Oryctolagus cuniculus: one gene and its partner. Each later gene encodes a partner of the first gene's protein in a complex. Links are inferred from orthologs where the notes say so. Each region holds a gene or a part of one and is shown on either strand. Other genes may lie near its edges. The genes, in order: ACAD9 and TMEM186.

Region 1 (3,802 bases):
ATCCAGGTGGGACCAGTCTGGGTACCATGGGCAAGGAGGTGAGGTGAGTCCTGTCTCCTGGCCTGTAGGACAGTGCCCGCAAGCTCGAGGAGAACGTGTATTACTTTGGCCGCACTGTTGAGACGCTGCTGCTACGCTTTGGCAAGGTAGGCAGGCCCCTTGGCCAGGAAGCCAGTTTGTGCAGGGGCTTTGGGAGCAGGCCTGGGACAGGCCTCTGCCCCACGGGTGTGGCTGCATCTATGCTGCCAAGCAACCACTCACCTGCTGGGTGAGCTTTCCAGGCTCTTCTCCCTGGCACCTTTTAGGTGAGGGGAGGGCAACCCTGCCTGTGGCCCAGCCCAGTTTCTGGACCTTGGCCGTGGCCCCTTCCCGAATCTGCACAGAGCAGAGAACAAGGAAGATGGAAGGTTGCTGTGACCCCACCTCCTGCAACCCTAGGGGAAATGGATTCTGGGCCCTACTTTACCCAAGAACAGACTTCAACAAAGCCACGTGTGGGGCGAGGGAGATGGGTCCAGGGGAGGCAGCAGGGCAGGGGCAGGCTCTGCACTCAGCCCTTGTCTGCAGACCATCGTGGAGGAGCAGTTGCTGCTGAAGCGTGTGGCCAACATCCTCATCAACCTGTACGGCATGACGGCCGTGCTGTCCCGGGCCAGCCGCGCCATCCGCCTCGGGCTCCGCAATCACGACCATGAGGTGAGGCCCTGGCAGCCCTCTAGCTGAGGCTGGGAAGGGGGCGCTGTCGGGGAGTCCCAGGAGGCCACGACCACATGCTGGTCACTGAGCGGGAGGGGGAGTCCCAGAGACCTGCAGGTGTGGCCTGGGGGCGCTGTGCTCGGCCACTCCGTCATCTCCTGCCTGAGAGAAGAGAGGGGGCAAGGGGCAGGGCCCCCAAACAAGAGCTCTCAGCCCAAATGCCTGTCCATGCTGTAGGGAGGTGGATGAGGGCACTGGGCAGGCCCTGTGCACTGGGCCAGGAGCCCCCTATGGCCAAGAGGCTGCAGCTCAGGCCGTGCCCCAGCGCTCGGTGCTCAGGCTTGCTGACCTCACTCCGGCAGGTCCTGCTGGCCAACACATTCTGCATGGAAGCTCATCTGCAGAACCTCCTGAGCCTGTCTCAGCTGGACAAGCGTAAGTGGGGCGGCCGCGGGGAGCGGGGGAAGGGCCTGGCTCCGGGGAGCTGTTCCTGGGGCCTGCTGCCTGCTCACAAGCTTCTGCCTTGAGGAGAGCCTGCGCCAGGCCTGGGCTTCTGTGCGACAGCACCTGCACGGCAGAAGCACACACAGGTGAACCTCACCTGTCACCTGTCACCTGTCACCGTGGCTATTCTGTATGGAGCAGGGCCCTCACACACAGCCTCTGTGCTGGCCCTGCTGGCGTCCACTGAGCAGGCCTGCCGCATTCTTGTGGCTACCTGGGAGGGCTCACACTGCACTGGACTCAGGAGACAGCATTTACCCAGCTCCTCCACCCCTGCACCCCAGCCAGACCGCACCACAGCTCTGCCCTGTCTCAGGCCCTGGCCCTGAGAACATGGGTCTGTGTGCCTGCTCCTGTTCGCCTGTGGTGTGCTTCCTCCTCCTAGCTACTGGCCTGGAGACTCGGATCAGCCCTGTTGCCAAGGATGGGGAGAGGCTGCTACCGTTGTGTCCCTTGATGTGGAGCGTGGCTGCCCTCTGGCCTACAGGGCGGTCACGTGCTGTGGAGGAGGATGTGCCTTCATTGAGACGCACAGACTGGGGGGTTTTCAGACAAGAACAGGATGAGGCCTTTTTATTCAGAATGAAACCTCTGTCCCTTTTCCTGTGGCCCAGAAGCGTCCCTGGGTGTGGAGGAGGGGCGCCCGAGGCTGCCTCACTGCGGGGGCTGACTGCCAGCGCCTGGCTTGTTCCACGTGATCACGATACAGAGAGATGACCGCCCTCTCTCTTCCCTCCCAGACGCACCAGAAAACCTAGATGAGCAGATTAAGAAAGTGGCCCAGCAGATCCTGGAGAAGAGAGCGTACATCTGTGCCCACCCTCTGGACAGGGCGTCCTGAGGTGCTGACAGCTCCCCCTCCTGCCGCTGCCCCCAGGCCATGGCCAGTGCTGCACACCGCTGTCTCCTGCCAGGAGGTGGAGAACTCTGGGTTGCCTGGCTGGAACGTTCATACCCAGGCTGCACCTGGAAGGCTCTCTTCTGGCCAGAGGAAGTCCTGCCGCTGTCCAGCAGGAGCCTGGCTTCCACATGGCGCGGGACAGCTGACACCTGCGATGGTTTAGAAGCCACCACAGGGGACCTGGGGCTGTGCTGCCACCTCGCTGCCTGGGGCTAGCGGGGACCTGTGTCAGGTGTGAAGAGCCCTTCCTGTGAGACCACACGTTGACAGCTGTGTGTGTGTCATTCACTCAGACTAGGAGTGCAGTGCAGTGACAGCATGTACCAGGAGCCAGGGAGTGAAGAACATAAAACATCCCGATGTGCAGGACTTCGCGCTCTGGCTGTGCTCATCACGAGGTTCCTGACTCCGCCTTTAGTGCATGGACCACCTTTGTCCTCAGCCTGAGCACTGAAGGGCTGGTGCCCAGTGCAGGGCTGCGGGGCCGCGGGCCATGGGCTCCTTCTCTGGTGACGGGGGACCTGCTGCCCGGTGCACAGCAGCATCCACCTCTTGCAACCTGGGGCTCTGCTCCCCGTGTGCGCAGAGGTCACGGGGCGGCTCTTGAGGTGGCAGCAGCAGGCGCTGGCCTTCCCTCGGGCTCCTTCCTGCTGCTGCTGGCAGCTGGGGGTGCTGAGGCTGCAGAGCCTGCTGTGGGTGCTGCCCTGAGGGGGAGGCAGGCTGGGCTCAGACTCCTCTACGCTGTGAGACTGCGCACGGGCCACTAGGTGGGAGCACTGAGTTGGCCTGGTGGGGCTGGTGTGCTCCCAGGATCTGGGTAACTTTAATCTGTTTTGTTTTGTTTTTATGATTTATTCATTTATTTGAAGGGCAGAATTAAAAAGAGAAAGAGAAGGAGACAAAGTAAGATCTTCCATCTGCTGGTTCACTCCTCAAATGGCCGTGGAGCTGCACCAATCCGAAGCCAGGAGCCAGGAGCTTCTTCCAGGTCTCCCACGTGAGTGCAGGCGCCTGAGCACTTGGGCCATCTTCCACTGCTTTCCCAGGCACATTAGCAGGGAGCTGGATCAGAAGTAGAGCAGCCGGGATGCTGGTGCCACAGGCAGCAGCATTACCCGCTATGCCATCGCACCGGCCCCACCGTAACTGTTTCATCTTAAAGAGGAAAGTTGGGGGCCGGCGCTGCGGTGCTGCTGGTGAAGCCACCACTTGAGGCCCCTGCTTCCATGCTGTTCTGGTTCCAGTCCTGACTACTTTGCTCCAGTCACCTCTCTGTTCATGTACCTGGGAAAGCAGCACAAGATGAGCTGAGTGCTTGGGTCCCTGCTGCTTATGTGGAGACCTGGATGGAGTTCCAGGCCCTTGGCTCCAGTCTGGCCCAGCCTCAGCTGCTGCGGCCCTGTGGGAGTAAACCAGTGGATGGAGATCGATCAAGGGATCTCTCTGTCTCTCTCTCTTCTCCCTCTCCCCCACCCCACCACCTCCCTCCCTCCCCAGCCTTCCCTCGCCCTCTCCTGCCTTTCAAACAAACAAATAAATTTTTTTAAACAAATCAGTTGATAAATACGGTGACACTGGAAGTCATGTCCCAGTGAAGCCGGAAGTTCTGCTTTCGGCTGGGAAGCAGCGGTGGCAAGGAGGCACTGCACAAACAGAGCTCCTGTCTCCTGTGGACAGTGCTGTGGAAAGGAGGCTGCACAG
Region 2 (4,185 bases), on another chromosome or scaffold:
AGAAGCTCCTGACAGAGCTGGTCATTGTGGCCATTTGGAGTGTGAACCAGTGAGTGGGAGATCTTGTCTCTCCTTCTCTCTGTAACTCTGCCTCTCAAATAAATAATAAATCTTTAAAAAAGGGAAGGGGAGGGGGGAGGCAGGGAGGGGAGAGAACCTCTGGACATTGCAATGGGAATGTAACCCGGCATAGCCACTGTAAAAAGTCTGGCAGGTCCTCCAATGGTTAAACACAGAATTACCAGAGGACCTAGGAGTCCCACATCTTGGGATGCACCCAAAGGTGAAAATAATCCCAACGTCCCCCAGCACATGAACAGAGACAAACGTGGCAGTACACGGAACAATACCGTCCAGCTATAAGGAAGAATTACATGCCACTACACGCTACCCACACGTTGAAAACATCACACCAAGCCAACGAAGCCAGTCACGAAAGGGCACATACTGTGTGATTCCAGGCCATGCCATGTCCAGACAGGCAGATTCTAAGGCAGAAGGGGATTAGTGGCTGCCAACGGGAGAGCGAGTGCTGCTCTGTGGGTACAGAGGCCCTGGGATGGTGAAAAACTTCTGGGGGTGAACTGTGGGGGTGGTTACACCACACTGCAAATGTACTTACTGTCCCTGAACTGTACACTTAACATGGTTACAACGATACATTTGTGATGAGTACATGACAATGAAAACAGAGGTGATACGAAATTTATTGACTTATGCGTGGCAAAATCACGAAGACCTTTACCCTGCTACAAGCTACGTGGCCGACACACACACCGATCACGGGAGGCAACACGCAGAGGTAGAGCACTACACACACCCATCTGGCTCCATGACGCAGCGGGACGGCCTCGGCCTGTGGGTGCGGAACATCTCAGCTGGGGCGTCGCGCCTCACTCGGGGTGCAGTTACCATCCTGGGAGGGTGCAATGCCCCCGCCACGCTTCGTCCCACTCTTCTGCTAAGGGGTGCATGGAGAGGCAGAACACAGGGCTCCCGCGCGCTGCCTGAAAGCCCCGACCACCACCTCTGAGCAGACGCTTCCCAGTCGCCCAGGGCTACGGCCTTGCATGTTTACTGTGTGTTCTGACATCCAGCCCACGAGACAGAAAGAACTTTCCGTTTGACAGACGTGAGAAACCAAGGCTCACACAGACTCCGTCAGCTGCCCAGAACAGCGAGCTGACAGCACCCCAAACCCTGTGCTCCTCCCACATCTGTCTTCCAAATACCCGTGAACTGTCCGGGTGACCGTGGCATAGCTTCCTCCAAGAACTGGATCCGAACAGAACCTCCTGGCCATTATCTGCAAGAACAGCACGCGCAAGTGCAGGAAGAATCCGCACTCGGGCGCCTTCCCGTAAACCTGGGTCCGAATTTCTGTGTTCTTCCGAAAAGACAAACTCCCAGGGTTCTGACAGTCTCTAGGGGCCCGATTCCCTCCTTCGGCCTCGTCTACACCCTCAGCCTTCTTGGTTAGTGACCCAAGGGGCCCAGGGCTTCCCAGAGGCCCAGCTGATCACTTGAGCGAGTCCAGTCTCCCAAACACCTGTGTGAAGCGCTCTCTGTCCAGGACGCGCCCGTAGCGCAGAGGTAGGTAGAAGGTCTGCTTCCCGCTGTACTGCTGGATGCGCACAAACACCTCGTGGGGCCGGTCCCTCGTCTCCGTCAGGGGGACCACGTCCGCCACGGGGCAGTACGTGTCCTGTCGCCAGCCCCAGAAGGTGAGGTGAGCCACCCGCAGCACGGTGCCCGACTCGTTCACATACAGGATGCCTACGAGCCTGCGGAAGAAATGGCTCATCCAGCACAGCATGGCCAGGGCGAAGCCAGCTATGCCACCCACCAGGCACAGCGAGTCGAGCGGCATGAGGCCCTGGGAGTACCAGTAGAAGCCGGGCGGCAGAGCCACCAGCGTCAGGGCCGTCTGCGCCACCTTCAGCCGAGATATGTACCCAAACGCTCTGATGGCATCGAAACGGTAGACCATCTGGAACTTCTCGGTCTCTGTGCCCGGGGCTTTCTCCTCGGAACCGGGAGACCTGCTCCGCACCCACCTCTTGGGATCCTCTCGCCCACCGCAGGACCACAGCCCGCAGAGGGGCTTTCCCCAGGCGGCCGGCCCCCGCCACCTGGGCACAGCTCGGAGGAGGGCAGCCTGGAAGGGAGACAAGAGACCGTTTCCTCTCAGAACTCGGCTTCCACCTGCGTGAGTTCGTTAGGCTTTACCAACGGGCACTCAGAACACACTGAACGAGACAACGGTTTTTACGCCGTAAACGCAGCACCACTGTGCATCAGCACCGGCAGGGGCTTGGTTCCGGGATGCACGACAAGACACCCAAACCAGAGGGCTCACGTCTCTTATGCAAAATGGCACAGTGTTTGTGTGATACCTTATACCACTACTACGATGGAAACGCGGCGTAAAGAGTGGTTATGGGGGATTCCTTTGGGAGTAGCAAGAGCCCGTAGGCGTTCCGCACAGACGCAGCTGTCTCGGCAGCTGAGTGAATCCATGGATGGGGAGCGCACGGATAAGCAGCGCCGACTGCTCGGGGCCCACCCTGAGCACCCCCGCGAGGCTCGCTAGCACCGCTGCTGGCCCACGTGACCCCGCAAGACCACAGCAAGCCGTGGAGGAGCACATCGTAACCCACATCGGGGCAATCGCCCCAGGACCCAACAAACCAGAAGCTCAGGATTCCTGCCTGTTTGCCCCAACACTGGCTCCGACCCCGACGCAGCCCATCACCCTCCTCCTTACCATGGCCCTGCTCCCTGGCGCCGGATACAACCTCACCGCCGCCGGAAACTCTAAGGGCGCATGCTCGGACTACGCGCGTTGCATGCTGGGAGTTGTGGTGTAGCGTCCGTGGCCGACGCTAGCCCCGGGCATTGTGGGAGGCTGTGGGAGTCTCTTCCCGACGTGCTCTGCGGCGAAGAGGGCCGAACCCGGAAGTTCCGGGTCGAGGTCCGGGTGCCAACGAGTCGTCTCAGGTGTGGACGGAAACGGGGGCCATGGCAGCTCCGGGACCAGCGCTTTGCCTCTTCGACGTGGACGGGACCCTGACCGCCCCGCGGCAGGTAGGCGGCGCGCAGAGGGCTGGCGGCAGCCGGCACGGAGCACTTTCTGCTCCTAGACGGGACGAACGACCGTCCAGCTTGGGTGCCTGGGTGCAACTGAGGACCGCCTCCCGCCTCCAGGGGCTGCCCTTGGTCTGGGTGCCCCAGCGGCGGGAGACGGGCCTGAAGCAGCTCGTCAAGATCCCGGGGTGCTCGGAGAGGGAGGGCGGGGTCGGGAAACTTGGGTTAGAACAAGCAGCCCGTTCTCTGGCCGCGAGCCCTGAACCCCAGCCGAGGCCCCCTCAGCAGCTGTGTGACCTTCCCCGTCCCGTCGCGCGTGGCTGGACCTTGGAGCGAGATGCTGAAAGCGCAGGGTTCGGGCCGGCGCTGCGGCTGTTACTAGTTAAACATCCGTGTGCCTGCGGCGCCGGCATCCCATATGGGCGCCGGGTTGAGTCCCACCTGCTCCACTTCGGATCCGGCTCCCTGCTGATGGCCTGGGAAAGCTGCAGTGGACGGGCCCGGTCCTTGGGCCCCTGCACCCATGTGGGAGACCCGGAAGAAGCTCCTGGCTTCGGATCAGCGCAGCCGCGGCCCTTGCGGCCATTTAGGGAGTGAGCCCTTGGGTGGAAGACCCCCTCTCTCTATCTCGACCTCTCTCTGTCTGCAACTCTGCCCTCAAATAGATAAATCTTAAAGAAAGAAAGTGTAGATTTCCTAGTCCAGAGGACCTAGCGGAGCCTCAGCTTGGGCCAGTTAGCCCCAGCCGGAAGCGGGGACAGTGCTTGTTACGTGTCATCCGAATAGGACCAAATGCAAGGTGTCTGCTCGCAGTAGGCCTCCGTAAGCACGGGCCGTCTCCACCCGCCCTGTGCAGCCCCTGCCGGGGTCGGGGTCGGGGTCGGGGGGACGTCCTAGGTCGTCACAGGCAGCCTGGTGAGTCTCTGCACCCTTGGAAGCGTGCCCCCCGCGCTCAGATCTGCCTGCTGCGGGCGCGCGTACGTTTCAGCTACGATCAGCTTCGTGGCGAGGCTCTCCCTTGTACAGACTGGTCGCAGGAACACCAGCCATGGGAGGCAGCAGTCAGCACACACCTGTGGGTTGTTAAAAGCCCTTACT

Evidence for each region.
Region 2: ACAD9 (region 1) and TMEM186 share a complex: the UniProt entries of both Homo sapiens proteins name them as parts of the mitochondrial complex. The link is inferred for Oryctolagus cuniculus from reciprocal best matches to the Homo sapiens genes ACAD9 and TMEM186.

What each region holds. Positions count from the first base shown.
Region 1 is NC_091441.1:111,765,699-111,769,500, reverse strand, and holds the end of ACAD9 (complex I assembly factor ACAD9, mitochondrial), read left to right. Parts: intron 1-68; coding exon 69-146; intron 147-567; coding exon 568-696; intron 697-1,058; coding exon 1,059-1,131; intron 1,132-1,940; coding exon 1,941-2,041; 3' UTR 2,042-3,653; downstream 3,654-3,802. UniProt on the Homo sapiens protein: As part of the MCIA complex, primarily participates in the assembly of the mitochondrial complex I and therefore plays a role in oxidative phosphorylation.
Region 2 is NC_091450.1:27,395,982-27,400,166, reverse strand, and holds TMEM186 (transmembrane protein 186), read right to left. Parts: upstream 2,893-4,185; 5' UTR 2,771-2,892; coding exon 2,768-2,770; intron 2,159-2,767; coding exon 1,520-2,158; 3' UTR 691-1,519; downstream 1-690. Other genes in the region: PMM2 (phosphomannomutase 2), read left to right, coding at 3,022-3,087. UniProt on the Homo sapiens protein: As part of the MCIA complex, required for efficient assembly of the mitochondrial complex I.